2 linked regions of the Tamandua tetradactyla genome follow. The protein of the gene in region 1 binds, or shares a complex with, the protein of each later gene. Links are inferred from orthologs where the notes say so. Each region holds a gene or a part of one and is shown on either strand. Other genes may lie near its edges. The genes, in order: RNH1 and RNASE1.

The links.
Region 2: the proteins of RNH1 (region 1) and RNASE1 are in contact, whole or in part, in a crystal structure (PDB 3TSR), measured with the Mus musculus proteins. The link is inferred for Tamandua tetradactyla from reciprocal best matches to the Homo sapiens genes RNH1 and RNASE1. Residues at the interface, in NP_001165571.1 of Mus musculus: Cys7, Asp32, Thr60, Asn89, Asp117, Glu145, Tyr146, Asn174, Glu202, Trp257, Trp259, Glu283, Ser285, Trp314, Lys316, Glu340, Glu397, Ser401, Asn402, Gln426, Val428, Tyr430, Asp431, Ile432, Tyr433, Trp434, Thr435, Asn436, Glu437, Arg443; in NP_035401.2 of Mus musculus: Arg26, Glu27, Lys32, Gln36, Pro48, Thr49, Gln53, Lys56, Arg57, Met60, Asn62, Gly63, Ser64, Cys65, Lys66, Pro67, Val68, Asn92, Lys94, Asn96, Leu111, Lys112, Gly113, Asn114, Ser115, Lys116, Asp121, Ala134, Glu136, Val143.

Annotation. Positions count from the first base shown.
Region 1 is NC_135335.1:362,288-370,011, forward strand, and holds the start of RNH1 (ribonuclease inhibitor), read right to left. Parts: upstream 3,043-7,724; 5' UTR 2,894-3,042; intron 1,241-2,893; exon of another isoform or gene 1,130-1,240; intron 779-1,129; exon of another isoform or gene 714-778; intron 202-713; exon of another isoform or gene 1-201. UniProt on the Homo sapiens protein: Ribonuclease inhibitor which inhibits RNASE1, RNASE2 and angiogenin (ANG). May play a role in redox homeostasis. Required to inhibit the cytotoxic tRNA ribonuclease activity of ANG in the cytoplasm in absence of stress.
Region 2 is NC_135340.1:35,797,827-35,806,049, forward strand, and holds the start of RNASE1 (ribonuclease pancreatic), read left to right. Parts: upstream 1-4,962; 5' UTR 4,963-4,984; intron 4,985-6,061; exon of another isoform or gene 6,062-6,186; intron 6,187-6,222; exon of another isoform or gene 6,223-6,531; intron 6,532-7,266; exon of another isoform or gene 7,267-7,388; intron 7,389-8,147; 5' UTR 8,148-8,162; coding exon 8,163-8,223. UniProt on the Homo sapiens protein: Endonuclease that catalyzes the cleavage of RNA on the 3' side of pyrimidine nucleotides. Acts on single-stranded and double-stranded RNA.

The sequences.
Region 1 (7,724 bases):
GCACAGCCCTTCCGCCCCACCCAGCTGGGGTTACCCGACTGCGGACACCCCATCACTCCCGTTTGTGCCCAAGGCCTCGTTATCCAGGGCTGCCGGAGGCCCCCAGAAGGAGCCGCGGGGGTCAGAGCCGACTGCTCGAAGCAGGGGCGAGGCCGGACCCCACCCAGCCAAGCTACTACGGACTCGGGTGCCCTGTCTGGGCCCGCCTGCTGCCCCGTGTCCCCAGGCTGCGCATCGCCCGGCTCCCGCCAGGCCGTGCCCCGCCGGAGGGGCCGGGGAGAGCGGCGCCCCCCACGATAAAACAGGGCTGCCTGCGCCCAGGATTTGGGGGTTCGGCAACCCGTCCCCTCAGCGTCCCCGGGAAACAGCACGTGGTCGCAGCCATCGCCGGCCAGGCGGGTCACGGGTCACGCGCGGGGCCTGGCGCAGGCCGCTGGCTCTGAGGCCGGAGGCACGGCCGCTCGGACCCCAGGTGGTGGGTGCGGCTACCCGAGCGAGGCCAAGCGAAGCCGAGGCGGAGCGCGATGGGCCGGGCCCGGCTCATGACCCTCAGGCCCGCAGGCCGCCTGCCCCCGCCCCCGCCCCCGTGAGGCTCCCTGCGCCTGGCGGGAACCAGGCGGCTTCGGGGACGCGCAGCCGGGCCCGCCGCGACCCCCGCCCGCCCCAGGCCTGGGGTCCTCCGCCCGCCCGCAGACGCCGCTCCCGACGCTCACCGCGCGCCGTCGCCGCCCCGGGAGGCCGTGGGGAAAGGCGGGGTCCGGGCCGCCGCGCGTCACGGGGCGGGGCCTGGGCAGTTTCGAGTCACGGGGTGGGGGCGGGGCCGCCGCGCGTCATGGGGCGGGGCCTGGGCAGTTTCGCGTCACGGGGCGGGGGAGGGGGCGGGGCCTGGGCAGTTTCGCGTCACGGGGCGGGGGCGGGGCCGCCGCGCGTCATGGGGCGGGGGCGGGGCCGCCGCGCGTCACAGGGCGGGGCGGGGTCTCGCACTTCCGGGTCCCAGGCGCGCGCCCTCGCCCCCCGCTCTCAGCGCGGCCCCCATCGCGGGAAGCCCCCTCCGCTTGCCCCACCCGCGCCGCCGGCCGCGCGCACGGGGATGAAGCTGGGAGCTCTGACGCCCGTCTCACTGCCCGACCTGACCGAGCGACGCTGCGGGTCCCTCCAGCTTGCACAGGCCTCACGGAGCGCGCCCAGGTGCGCGGCACAGGCGCCTGCGGGAACCCGCGGCGCGCCGGAAGGCGAGTAAACCCGTGAACAATCTAGATGCCCAGCCGGAGAAAGAGGGCTGGACGGCGCCCACCCAGACGCTATCCGCGGAAAAACCTATAATTAACACGGAAAGACCTTCAAGGACAGTTTTAAGTTTTAAAACAATGCACAGTGAGACATTTTAGCAACTCTGAAAGTACTCTTGAGTTCTTTCGTTCCCCCGCATGGATAGGTCACCCACCTCCAGTGGACAGGACCGCGCCCACACACGTGGACGGGCTCACCCTCCGTGAGGCGCCCACCAAAGCCAAAGCCTGTGCTGTGGGTTCAAATGTGTCACCCAAAGGCCACAGTCGCGTGCGAACCCCGGTACCGCTTAGGGGGCTTTGTAGATGTAATTATCTGAGATGAGGGACAAGGTGGGCCCTAAGTCCAATCGGACTAGACGGGGAAGTGGGAGCGCAGGTGAGAGGGCACGTGACCATGGAGCCCCCACTGGGGCGATGTGGCCACAAACCCAGGGGCTCCTGGGTCCCCCAGGAAGCACGGCCAGCCCACACCTCCATTTTGGAATTCTGGCCCAGAACTGTACAGGAATAAATCCCTATTGCTTTAAGTCACCTGGCACGTGGGCCTCTGCATGGAGGCCCCAAGCAATTGATACAGCATGTTTCTGCCAGGCTCGCCCACAGGTGTGGGGCGCTTTCCTGAGGGTTCCTCACAAACCCTAAGGGGAGAAATTAGGGTGTAGGGGACGGTTACGGTGGCTGCACCAGGGAGACAGCCTCCTTGCTCCCTGGCCCGCGGGAGGAGACGCCTGACAGCTCTGGCCTGGGCCCGGCTGCTTCCACCTGTGTCCCTGTGATGTAAAAACCCTGTGGCTGAGCCTCACTTGTACCCGTATCCTGGTTTTCAACTTTGGAGTCTGATCACTAAAGACGGCCCTGATGGTGATTCATGAAGGGTCAGGTCAGCCCAGGACTGCCCCACCCCACGTTTGAAGTTCTGTGGACAGAGGAAGCTCCGTGGGAGCCGAGCGGGCCGCCTGCAGCGCGGCACCTGGACCGCAGCGGCCGGCACATGCCTGCAATTAGATCATCCGTATCGCGTGGTCTCGGCCGTCCCTCGAGCCCCCTACCCTCAGCCCTGCGCGTCCGAGATGCTGACACCATCAGGGTTTGGGTCGGGGCCCCCAGACTGCCGGACTCCGACGGGGCGCGGGGAGGGCAGCTTTCCCTGCACTATCCAGGGCGCCACTGAGAGATCCCGACCAGGGGAGGGGGTGTGGGAGGCAGAGGGGGTGAGGCGGGGAGGGTGTCCAGAAGCCAGGCCAGGAGGGGCCCTCCGCCCGGGGCTACCAGGCCCAGGGGTCAGTCTGCGGGAGCCTTTGGCCAGGCCAGGTGTTGCCTACGCGCCTTACGGGCCGCCAAAGGAGCAGGGGGCTCGGGGCCGCCGGCGCGGGTCTGGGGGCGCAGACCCACCACCCCGGCCGGCGCTCCCAGCGGGCCTCCCCGGAGGGCGGGGGCGACGCGCGGGGGGCTCCTCGGGGCGGGAGGACGCCCGCGGGGCAGTGAGGCCGCAGCAGCGCGAGGGCACGCATGCGCAGGGACCCGACTGAGGCCGGTGCCGGAAAGGGCAGCCAGGACCCGCCGGCCGCATAAGCGACCCGTAGGCTCGGAGCGTAACTGACCTAGGGGCGACCGACGGGCGACAGACTGCCACTGGCCTGGGACGGACCGCAGGACGGCGGCTCCTCTTCGAATCGTGGCGTGGCTGGCGGCGCCGGCAAAGGGCAGGGAGCCGGCGCGGCCAGCTGGGGAGGGGCGGGGCCTGCGGGGGGGCGGGGCCTGCTGGGGAGAGGTGGGGTCTGCTGGGGAGAGGTGGGGTCTGCTGGGGAGGGGAGGGGTCTGCTGGGGAGAGGTGGGGTCTGCTGGGGAGGGGGGGGTCTGCTGGGGAGAGGTGGGGTCTGCTGGGGAGGGGAGGGGTCTGCTGGGGAGGGGAGGGACCTGCTGGGGAGGGGAGGGGCCTGCTGGGGAGGGGAGGGGTCTGCTGGGGAGGGGAGAGATTTGCTGGGGAGAGGTGGGGCCTGCTGGGGAGGGGAGGGGTCTGCTGGGGAGAGGTGGGGTCTGCTGGGGAGAGGAGGGGTCTGCTGGGGAGGGGAGGGGTCTGCTGGGGAGAGGAGGGGTCTGCTGGGGAGGGGAGGGACCTGCTGGGGTGGGGAGGGGACCCGCGCCGATCGAGCCTTAGGCTGACACGGTCCGAGCCCCCTCTCTCCGCGTCTACGGACTCGCGGACTGACGGACTCACTGACTGACGGACTGACCGGCCGACAACAGTGTCCGGGGAGGGCGAGGCGGGCGGGGCTGCCGGTAACTGCGCCCGGCCGCGGGATGTTTCCGCGGAAGCGGCGGTGGCCCCGGTGCGCCCTTGAGGCGCGGCGGGGCGCGTGAGGGACGTGGGCGGGGGCGAGGACGCGGAGCGGGCCGCCCCTCCCTCTAGTGGCGGGGGCCCCTGCCCGCCGCGGGGCTGCGGGAAGCGCCCAGGTCCTGCTGTCACGTGCGTCCTCCGTCACGCCGCGGGCACTGAAACGGTCGGCGCCGATGGCGTCTATGCTGCTTGCACGAGCCTTGTCCCGTGGAGCGTGAGGGCCGACCGAGGAAGCGGGGCGGGCAGGGACGCGCGTGGGGTACAGGGAGCGCGGGGTCTGCACTTGTCCCTTTGAACCGGTCTGGTCCGCCCAGGATAGGGTCCAGAGCTCTCAGCGGCCCCCCGACCCCCGGCCCATCCACTTCCGTTCCTCTCGCCTTCACCCCCCGCCCCCACCTCCCGGAGTGGGGAGAGCTCAGGGTGTGTCCTGCCGGTCCCTCAGTGCCTGCCTCGACCCCACTCGTGGGCTCACGCGCGAGGCCAACACTGGGGCGGCTAGGAAGGGGGGCGTCTGTCCCTGCTCCACTTTTGTAAATGCGATTCTCTTTAAAACTCCCTTTTTATGAGCTGGAAAAGCTCACAGAAAAGTGCACGTCCTGTGCGTGGACAGCCGCGTTTCACACGCAGTGGTCACGTCAGCGTGCCACTTCTGGTGTGGAAAACACAGGTACGATGCAGGGCTCGCGGGGACTTGAGGGGGAGCGTGCTCGGTGGTGAGTGGGGGGCGGCCGTATCCGGACGTCCTGGAGCCAGGGCTGCGCGGCCGTGTGCGCGCTCCAGACCCCAGGCCTGTGACAGGCGTGCAGCCGGGGCCTCGACGGGGGGCCTCGACGGGGGGGGGGGGGGCCTCGATGGGGGGCCTCGATGGGGGGCCTCGGCGGGTGCCCCCCTACTTCCCCCTCCCCCTCCCTCCCTAATAAGCCAAAGCCCTGGGCCCAGCGGCGTTGAGCGGGACGGGAGGACAGACGGAAGCAGGTCTCAGGGGCTTCAGCGACAGCACGACGCGTACAAACGCTGTCATGCGTCCCGGAAGGGGGCAAAAAGAATACGTGAAGAAAAAATGGCCCCAAATTTCCCAACGCTTATGAAAGAGCTAAATTTCCATGTCCAGGAAGCCGCGCACTGCAAAGGCTAGCGGAGCCACGCGGAGGGGTCAGCGCCGCAGACACGCGACCCTGAGAGCAGCGAGAGAAACGCGATGTGCCACGTAGAAGGACCCTCCAGACGAAATTCCACTTTCCCTTCAGAACCATGGAAGCAAGAAGCAGTGGGATATATGGGGGCTGAAAGAGAAAAAGTGCAGCCGAAAATTCTTTATTTTTCTGTCCTTCAAAAAGAAATCTTTTGAACTAAAAATAGTTTTTAAAGTTCACAGATAAAACAGAAGCTGAGCATGTTCCCCACCACAAGAGACCTGCCCTACAAGAACTACTAAAGGGAGTTCTGCAGGTTGAAAGGAAAAGACAGGAGATGCTTAGAGCAGCATGAAAACAATAAGTCATTACTAGTGAAGGTAACTAAAAGAGTAAATGCAAAACCCGGTAGTACCGTGTCCTCAATGTACGACGCTACTCTACTTCCTATAAGGGTCAGAATATAACTGAACTTTAAAACAGTCATATTTCCTGATAATGGACATGAAAAATATAAAGAGGTATTTGGGGACAAAAACAATATTAGGAGAAAAAGGGACGGATACAGGAGCAGAGAACGGGTGTGCTCAGAAGTTAAGCTGGTATCTTTTCAAATTAGTGGGTTGTAGATGTAGGCCGTGTGATGACAAGCCCCAGGCTAGCCACAAAGAAACTATTACAGAAATAGGAACGGAATCTGTGAGAAACATCCCCAAAGATCAACTGTACAGAAAAAGAGGCTGCAGTAAAGGAAAAGAGACAAAAAAGATAAAAGATGTACAAAAAACAAAGGACAGGATGGCTAAAGCAAGTGCTGCCTTCCCAGTAAAACCACCGAGTGTTAATGGACTGAAGACCCGAGTCAGAAGGCAGAGTGGCCGCCTGGATGGAAAGCACCACCCGTGTGCGTCCCGCACAGGCCTCAGGCCCGAAGAGCCCGCGGGCTCACGGTGGAAGGACGGAAAGGAGACTCCGTGCAGGCAGAAGCGGGAGGAGCTGGGGGGCTCCACTGACATCACAAAGCCGGCTTAGGGGCGAAAGCAGTTACAGAAACTGCTAGAGCGAGATGGTAATAAAAGGGCGCCCCACGCAGAGGGAGCAGCGTGGACGGTGCACCCATCCACGGCGACACTGCCGGGGGGCGCGGGCGGTAGGAAACAGCTGCTCGGAAAGGCGGAGAAATGCAAGCGGGGACTCGACTGCGCCCGGAGGCCATGGCTGCGGCCCGGGACCCCCCCAGCCGGGAGTCCTTCCACGCAGGAGCGGGCAGGCAGACGCACGATGTCCTCGCAAGCCCCGCTGGGGTGGACGAGGGGCGGCCTGGGCCGGCAGCCCCGATCCTGTCTGCACCAGGCGCCCCCCACCCCCAGGTCTCCACCCCACGTCCCCACCCCGTCCCCCAGCCTCACACCCACGCCCCCAGCCTGGGTCTTGCTGAGGGAGAAGTGTACCCCGCCTAAGGGCTGGTGAAGTTGAGCCCTTCAGGGCTGGGCGCTTGGACGCTCCCCAGCAGGAGGCCGCAACCTCACCTTTGGACCTTGCAGGACACAGGGCCCACTCGCAGCCGGGGCTGGCAGGTGCCAGCACACGCAGACGTGGGAGAGAAGGGAGCCCCCACAGGAGAGGGGGAGCAGCAGACCAGCCCACCCATCCCTCCGCCCCCCCCCTCGGCCCCCTTGAACAGCACTGCCCCTGCACCGTGGGAACTACTGAGAAACCAAGTGCCACAAACCTTCACACCCAGCAACTACAAAAACCTGACGTGAGTGAGGGAAATCACTTTCAAATTAGCCTTATCAAGATAATCAGATGCCAAGAAAACAGCAAAAAAATTACAAGGCACATGAGAAAAACAAGAAGCTGTGGTCAAGCCAAATGATCAGATTAAAAAGCCAGAGGACAGAGTGGAGAGGTTATCCTGGAGGTTATTGTTACGCATTACATAGATACCCCTTTTTAGTTTAGGGTGTATTGCAGGGGCTGGAGGGAAGTGCCTGAAACTGCTGAGCTGTGTGTAGCCTTGATTCCTGGAGATGATTGTATAATGATACAGGTTTCACAATGTGACTGTGTGATTGTGAAAACCTTGTGTCTGAGCTCCTTTTATCCAGGGTGTGGGCAGATGAGTAAAATAAATGATAGGGGGAGATAAAGGGTAAAAATTGGGTAGATTGAAATACTGTTGGTCCATGAGAGGGAGGGGTAAGAGGTATGGTATGTATGAGCCTTTTCTTTTCTCGTTTTATTTTTCTGGAGTGATGCAAATGTTCTAAAAATGGTCATGGTGAGGAACACATACCTATATGATATTGTGAACCACTGATTGTATAATATAGTTGGGTTGTATGTGCATGGAAATTTCTCAATAAAAATATTTTTTTAAAAATTAAAAAGAACATTTCTTAAAGCCAGAAGAGACAAAGAATTTGGAATTCATAATCAAAGATGTTCAAACAAATCTCCTAAATAACTTCAGTGACTTGGCTAAAGAGATAAAGGATATCAGGAAGACACTAGAAGAACATAAAGCAGAATTGGAAAGAATAAATTAACAGCAGATCACACAGAACTGAAAGGTATGGTAGATCAAATTTAAATTACACGAGACAAAGCGGATTTGAAGAGGCAGAAGAAAGAATGAGAGAACTACAGGACACAGCAACAGAATTTGAATGCACAAAAGAAAAAATGACAAAAAGATGGAAAAACTGGAGTTGGATCTCAGGGAAATGACTTAACAACACAAAGCTCACAAACATAAGAATCAAAGGTGTCCCAGAAGGAGAAACAGTAAAGGGCTGGGAAGATTGCTTGAGGAGACACTTGGGGAATATTTCCCACCCCCCTTATAAAAGACGTAAATATGAAATCAAAGAAGCCAAACAAACTCCAAATAGAATAAATCCAAACAGACCAACTCCAAAACACCTAATAATCGGATTGTCAAGTGCTAAGGAGCAG
Region 2 (8,223 bases), on another chromosome or scaffold:
CTCAGCTTAAAATATGTCTCCCCAGTCTAAGAAGCTTAGGGTTTTTAAGGATTCAAACAAGTGGAGGCAGAGTTGTTACCATTTCAATCATAATTATGAATAACTATAGTACCGTGTAAAGGGGTGGAACTAAGCTAGGACTAAATCAAAATAACCATTACAATAGCAAGTACATTTCCAAAATTAGGGCTACAAAATCAAGAGACCACCAAATCCAGGCTAAAGGGAATGAAGTCTTCTTTAATCAGGAGCCACAGACTCCCAAGTCTCTATCTTTCTGCAGACACCTTGGGTAAATACTTGGGCAATATCTGACCTCCATTTAAGAAGATCCAGGGCTAGGACTTAGGGTGGGAAAGGACATATTGAGAATGCCTATTCTCTGTCCTTGGGGTTGAGAAAAGCTGGGATGGTGCCAGGAGAGATGAATGGAGGTGCCAAGGGAAGCAGGGGCTGGAGACTGGGGCCGTCTCTGTGTTCTGAAGGCCAGACTATTGACTACACCTGGCGGTCTCACCAGGCACGTTGGGGCCATGCTCTGGGAAAGTGCAATCTGGGCCTCAGTGACCTCACACAAGACTCAGATGTCAGGAACACTTTTTCTCCCAGTTTTTGCTGTTGAGTGCATGGCGGTGGAGGTCATGGACAGAGGGAAAATCTTACAAAGCAGTAATATTCTAAAGGAATGATAAACTGCACTGCCCAGAAAGCTTTTTGCTTTTTTTTTCGCCTTTTTATAATTGATCTATCATGTGAGGTGAAATGTTGCTTCCTGGGTAGGAGGCTGAAATGGGACAGTTTTGAATAAAAAGGTACAGCTTTGATATCAGACAAAAGCGGTGGGTTCTCTGCTTGATGCACATAACAGCCAATCCATAACACCGGGGTTTCAAAGAGAGCAAGAGTTTAATGCTATGTGCAAAGGAGGAGAGAAAATGGCCTATTGGTTCAAAAATCTGTCTCCCTGAGTCTAAGGAGCTTAGGGTTTTTATGGGTTCAAACAAGGGGGGTTGGAGTTGTGACCATTACAATAGTAAGTATACACAAGGCTGAAACTAGGCTTTAGAAACCATTACAATAGTAAGTATAAACAGGGATAGGACTAGACTAGAATAACATTATGATAAGAAACTATAAACAAAGGTTAGACTAATTGATTTTCAGTAATTTCAGGTATTAACTTCTGCTTATTCTGCAATATAGAACATAAAATATCTATATAATGATTTCATAATCATAATCATTTGCTAATTCTTAATTTCTCAGGACAATTCCTCCCTTATATTTTTGTCCATTCCTCAATCTTGAGAGATATCTGGGCAAAGCAGTCCTAACTTCTTCATGCTGAAAAGGAATATCATCTTTATGGGGTAGAGGAATGAAACTGGTTGTTGTTCTTGAAGAGACTGGTACCTCTGGGTTTCAGAGCTTAACTGGCATAGGAACAATCTGGAGACTTTAAGTCTCTGAAAAATAAACTTACTAAGTAAATTGAGTAAATAACCTTTTGTAGATTTCAGATAGAACCCTGTTGCTTGGAGAATGACATACTGTGGCATTTTGTAGTATCTGGCTACACCGACAGAAGAGCAACATCCAAAATGACTTCTTGACTCTATTTGAAATCTCATAGCTACTGAAATTTTGTTTTATTTCATTTCCCACTTTTGGTCAACCAATCCCATGATGCCAGGGCTGGGCTCATCCCTGGGAGTCATGTCCCACATTGCTAGGGGGTCTTATACCCTGGGAAGTCATGTCCCATGTAGTGGGGAAGGTAATGAGTTTATTTGCAGAGTTTGGCTTAGAGAGAAAGAGAGAGAGAGACCACATCTGAGAAACAAAAGTGTTTCTCTGAGGGTGACTCTTAGGATTCTTAGTCTTAGTTACAAGTAGGCTTAGCTTTGCCATTACAAAAATAAGTTTCATTAGGGCAAACCTCAATATCTGGGGCTTGGCTTATTAAATTGGGAGCTCTTTTTGCTTAAAAGAATAGCAGGAATTCCTTAGGTAGGGAAATTTAATACTTTCTTCCCCCAGTTCCTCAAGGGATCTTGGAAATACTTCTTCATTTTATGCCCCCAAAATCCTGAAATGCATCAGGGTATTACATCAATTGTACAGAATACTAAGATCTCATTCCCTAGTCTAAGTTCTCTGGCACATAAATCTGAATTAAGTTGTTTAAATGAACTTGCCAGAAAGGTTAAATTAGATGGTGCACCACAGAAAATTTAAGTTTTGAACAAAATTAATATCTCTTCCTTTGGTCTCACACAGAATTTAAGGTCTTAAATATATAGACAAAATCATCTTTTACCCTGCATTATGATTTACCTTAGTCCTAACCAGATCAGCTTCATTCATATCTTTAATTGAAGTCTGATCTTTTTTCAGTTTCTTCAACAGTTACTGTATGAAGTAATGCTAACTTTCAGAGCTGGAGAACTCAGATACCCAATGTTTCTGGGAACTACCAGGTTATATATAAGGAGAAAGCATCTCAGAATATAGAAATAACAGTTAAAACTCAGGAATGTGAGTGCTGTAAGAACTTACTATCTAGGTCCTAATTTTCTTATAAGCATTTTCTAAATAAAGCTATTTTCAGAAATAAAAATATTTGACAGTTGATTTATATTGCAGTCATCAACCACAAACCATAGCAGAAGTTTTTTCCTGTATTACCTTTACACATTTACCAGGGTTATGTTAATTAACAGGTAAAACATAATTTGCATTTGCCTTGCTTCTCTTTTAAAGTGCTTTTTTAAGAGACAATGTCTTTAGAAATCTTATGCAATCTCTAGATATGTAACTAGCATCTTGCTGATACAAATTTAGCTAACAAAAAAATAGAAAATCCCTTTTACTTATTGAAATACCTCCTAAATACTTCCTATGTGATATCACCTCACTTTTAGGTGAAAAAAAAAGCAAAAAACAAAAGCAAATCCTTTGCAACAGTTTGAAATAAAACGCATCCTGTAAGATTTGACTTTGAGAGGGCAAAATGTCAAAACTCATCAGGGTGAACACTATGCTAAACAGGAAACTGGATTACTGTGAAACAATATTTGGTTCCTTATTCAACCAGACTGAAAATAAAAAGTCTCCTAAAACAATGATATGGTCAACATAAGTGTCAACATGGACATTATTCTGACATGACATAAAATCTTTGTCTTCTAGACAGAATACTCAGATGATTAAGAAAAACTTTATAACTTTTCATAACCCTTCTACAACTTTCCATTTCCATTCAGGTTTTGTCTTAACACATGAAAACCAGCCTTTTACAAACCTGCACTCCCTTAGACAAGCTTATCAAATTTAATCAGTGTTGACTACAACAAACAAAATTCACTTCCACAAACTTCCACAACTTTCCATATACATCCAGGCTTCGTCCTACACATTCTCAAGGACAAAACTGCACCCCTTTCTTTAACTAAACACATCCTGTATACTTTACAAGCTTACACTCCTTAAGTTGCCAGAAAGATCTTTGATGCTGTCTTTAAATATCTTACAAAACATAGTCATTTTTAAAATGGTTTGTCAAACTAATAATTTCATTTCACCAAATACAAACTTGCATTTTTTACCATCTTAAAGATCTAATAGATATAATGCTCCTTTTTCTATTAGAGATAAAAATAATAATAACCTCTTTACTTTCATAATATTCTAAAACTATGAGCAACCTTGAACGCATGAGATGCTGAAAAATATAAAACAGTTGTTTAATTTGTCCCAAGCATAAATCCAGGAAACTTTTTCTTAGTTTCAAGGACATTTTCTCTTCTTTACTGAAATTTGGTAGCTAGATCTTATTCAATGATCCCTATTCCAAGGTGATTTATATTTTAATAAAAAATTATTTACTGCTGTAAGCCATTGCGAAGTTACTATTAGAAAAAATTATTTTAAATTGGGGAATTCTCTCAGAGCATGGCCTATTCCGCATTTCCTCTCCAGCCTGGTAGAAAGAAATCTAAACCAAGTCCGTCCTCCCCTCCTCTTTCTGCCCCAACAAGGGTTAGGCTGGTTAGGCTCTGGGGTCAGGGTTAGGTGAGAAAGAAAGAATGAGACCTGGTTTCCAAAGTTTTAAATGAAGGTGATGGGATTTAAGACCCCTAAAATAGCCTTAGTGTTGATGAGAGTTCCTTTGCCCTTCTTTTAATTGCTTCCAATTATTGTATGTACTTCATCTAAAGCCATGACCCAGATTTTTGGAAAAGTTTTTGCCTTTTCCAGAAGCTACCCTATGCTGTTTTAGGGAAATTCTAGGGGCGGTTTCTTCCATAATGTCTAATCTAATTCTAGTGATTAGAGGTCCTAAGGCCTTGAACCCTGGTACCTAGAGGGTTTTTCTATTTTCTTTTCTTCCCTTTTTCTTCTTTTTCCTTTCTGGGACTCCAGGAATACAAATTTATACACACACACACACACACACACACACACACACACACACGCACGCTTATTTATTCTTAAGCAATTCAAATAGAGCTCTCAAGAAATTTTGTTTGGCAATTTGGTATTACCATCTGGAGGTAGGAAAATATACATTGCATAAATAGAAAATTAAGACAGAAAAAAACAGAAACATAGAAATATAAACCTATAATTTGAACTCTATTTTTTCATCCATTTCTGGTATGCTTGCATTTTATAAGTCTTCCTGGGCTTCCCTGTTGTTGTATTCCCATAGGCACTTGCTGGAAGGGTAGAAGTTTTGCCAGTGGCTCTGCTCCTGGTTTTAAAGAGGAACTCTGGCCAAACTGAGTACAGGTATGAAAGGGGGGACCGTTTCTATCTCAGGATCTTTTTCCTTTGTTAAGGAGGGACACAGAGGAGGAGGAGGAGGAAGTAGGGGAGCTTCCTTCTTTCTCGATCTATTGGTCCTTTGGATGCAGGGTGCAGGTGAAGCAGCTGAAGGAGGTTAATAAAGGTGCTACAGGATACTCCGAATTTGAATCAGGTAGGACATTTTTCTTTTTTCTCCATTAATCTTTACAGGTAAAATTTTATATTTTCTCATCAACACTGATGGCTGGGAGAGACAAATAAAGGATTGGACATATATCATCTTATCCCATATCTGCTCTTTTTCAGCACGACCCTAACTTTAATACAGTATTCTTTTCTGTAGAATCATTCTCAGGCCACTTCTCTACTGATTCTAAATCATAGAGGCCAGACTGTGTTACAGAAATAAACTAATCCTTATTTTTTCATAGGTGCATAACTAAAATTTTTCCAAATTTCCAAAACAGCCCAAAGGGCTACATTTAGGAATGCTATTAGAATTAAAATTTCCCATTCTAAAGAATTCCATAAACAGTAATCAACCGGGAACACTTGAACAATCAAATGCAATAACAAACCAACTAAAAATTCAAAAGATGCAATGTTACATATGTATTTAAGTAACACACCAATTAATAAGTAAGCCAACACTCCAATTAACAATTAAACAGGACTTAAACTCATTATATCTTATTATATCTAAGTAACACACCAATTAACAGTTAAACAAGTTTAAACACTTACTAAATTTCAATAAGTACCAATTAATTTATTGGATTACTTCTTTCCCAGGAGTGTACGCAACATAAAAACTTAGGTCAGAGCTATGAACTCCATACAGAATGACAGCGAAAACAGAAAAGGAGCTCAGAGCAAAGGGGAATCATTCTAGAAGTGGGACCCAGAATCTTAAAATCCAGGTCCAGGGTACTTAAACCTCTGTGCTAACTTTTTGATCCACTTTTACCTTGGTAACCCACTTACCCAGTCAGTGAATACCAGTTTGTGCTGAATTACTTATTTTCCAGGAGTATACTCAACAGACAGACTCAGGCCTTGAGCCTATACAGACGAACACAGTTCAGGGCCTTGAAGCCAATACTGAATGGTTCCCAGAAAACAGAAGAGTGTAGAGGTCAGAGCAGGGGGTCGTAGTGGGAACAGGGCCTTAGATCTCAAGCCCAGGCCCGGGGAACATGAACCACCATTCTAACTTCCCAATCCACTTCTGCCTTGATGACCCACTCACCCAGTCAGATGTCTGGACTTGAAATTGGAACTGTTTCTCTCTTTGAAGCTTTTTAAGGCATTGAGGGTCTGGAGTGCCAGAAGAATAGAGAAAAACCTGGTTATCGAGCCTCCAGACTACAAGGTGTCTAGAGGCCACAAGCAGCTTGATTACTTATTTACCTGTCCTGCCAGGGTTCCAGAACTTCAGGTGGTGAACTCCTTCTTAGGAATCTTTGCCCTTCTTGGGTGGCCAAATTGATACCAGGCAAAAGCTGTGGGTTCTGTGCTTGATACATGTAACAGTCAATCCATGACACCAGGGTTTCAAAGAGAAAGAATTTAATGCTATGCATGAAACAGGAGAGAAGATGGCCTATTGGCTCAAAAATCTGTCTTTGTAAGTCTAAGGAGTTCAGGGTTTTTATAAAACATGGGGGGTTGGAGTTGTGACCATTACAGTAGTAAGTATGCATAAGCCTGAGACTAGGCTATAGTTGTCATTAAAATAGGGAGTATAAACAGGCTAGAATAATCACTACAATAGTACCTATAAATAGAGCTGAGAGCAGGCTATAATAAGCATTACAATAGAAAGTATAACCATTACAATAGTAGGTATAGAAGGTTGACACCAGCTAGAACAACCAATACAATAGAAAGTATAAACAGGGGTTATTAGAGTAGTTGATTTTCAGTAATTTCAGATATCAACTTCTGCCTTTTCTATAATATAGAAAGAAAAATAACTATATGATGGTACAGTAATCATAATCATTTAATTCTTAATTTCTTGGTTGCAGCTTTTGACAGGCTTTACTGGCTACACTGTTTCCTAAGAGATAGTGCCATAAGATCGTAAAACCTCCCACATTACTGCAATCTAAATTGACCTTTGACTCCCTGGAGTTACCTACAAATAGTCCAGGACCTCTACCCTGAAAAAGGAATCAGCGCCCTTTGTTAACCTCTAAAGGCTATTTGGGGAAAATAATTCCCACAGTGTTAATGAGGGTTTTGCTATGGTGCCTGAGCTATGAGCCCTGGTAGCCAGTGGCTGTCTCTGCTCTTCCTTGTGAACCAGCAAACATTTAAGTTTCACTTGGCTCCCTCACAGGCAAACACTCATTCTTTCCCCAGCAACCCTGGGAAGGGGGTGGACTGGTGACTGCTGCCCACCACCCACCCCCAGCCCTTCCTCAGTCCTTGTTTCTCTCTGACTTCAAGATGCTCCTCCTACTTTTCTCTTCTTGGAAGCCAAGCCCCTTTGCAATCTTATAAGTGTCCACACACCGGGACTGAGTGACTTCAGAAACTGTCCTTCTTTCTGCTCTCTTCTGGAGACCCAGGTAAAGTGCCCAGGAGCTTGTCTCAGGAGCTACTTTTGCTTGAGGGTTGGAGTGAAGGAAACCAGGGTGGATATGACTAGGATAGAGAAAGTTTGGGCCAGGCAAACATCACCCAGGGATGGAAAATTTGGGAGTATCCAGTCTGCAGAGAATCTGTGGAGCTGGAGAAGGGGGAGTCCCCAAGTCAGGGTTGGGAGGGTGGGTGCATAGGAGCATCTCTCTTTGGATTACAGTGAAATCCCTTTATGATGCCAATGTCAGGCACTGAGCTGAACTTCCCTTGTGCTGTAGGACAACAAGGCAATGTCAGCCATGATCCTGGATGTCATGCTGGTACCTCCTGGATACATTTTGGCTCATGGTTTAATTACAAATTATCTTCTAATGAGCAGTTAAGAACTGGTGCAACCATTCGTTTTTCAAATGTATTTTAGGTTAAAGAAACTCAAGTATCTAACGACAGGACTGCTAGGATTTCAGGTCACTCCCTAATTTTTGTTTGTTCTGTAAAGTAGTATCAGGTTTAGGCAACTCACCTAGAGGGATGGGAGGACTTTCTAGCAAGTGGGAGTAAAATGCTCTTGGAGAGAGTCGTGTGTGAGTGTCTCATTATTTGGTTAATTTTTCAGGAAGAGGGCTTGAAACTGGCTGAACTGAAAGGGAGACTGAAGCCAGAGCAGCCACTGGTGGGAGCTGGGGGTTCTGTTTCTAAGGGGATGCATTTTCATCTCATTCCCTTTCCTTTATAAACTCCTCCAGACTAGCAAGGCTACCATGGCTCTAGAGAAGTCCCTTGTCCTGTTCCCACTGCTAGTCCTGGTGCTGCTGGTGCTAG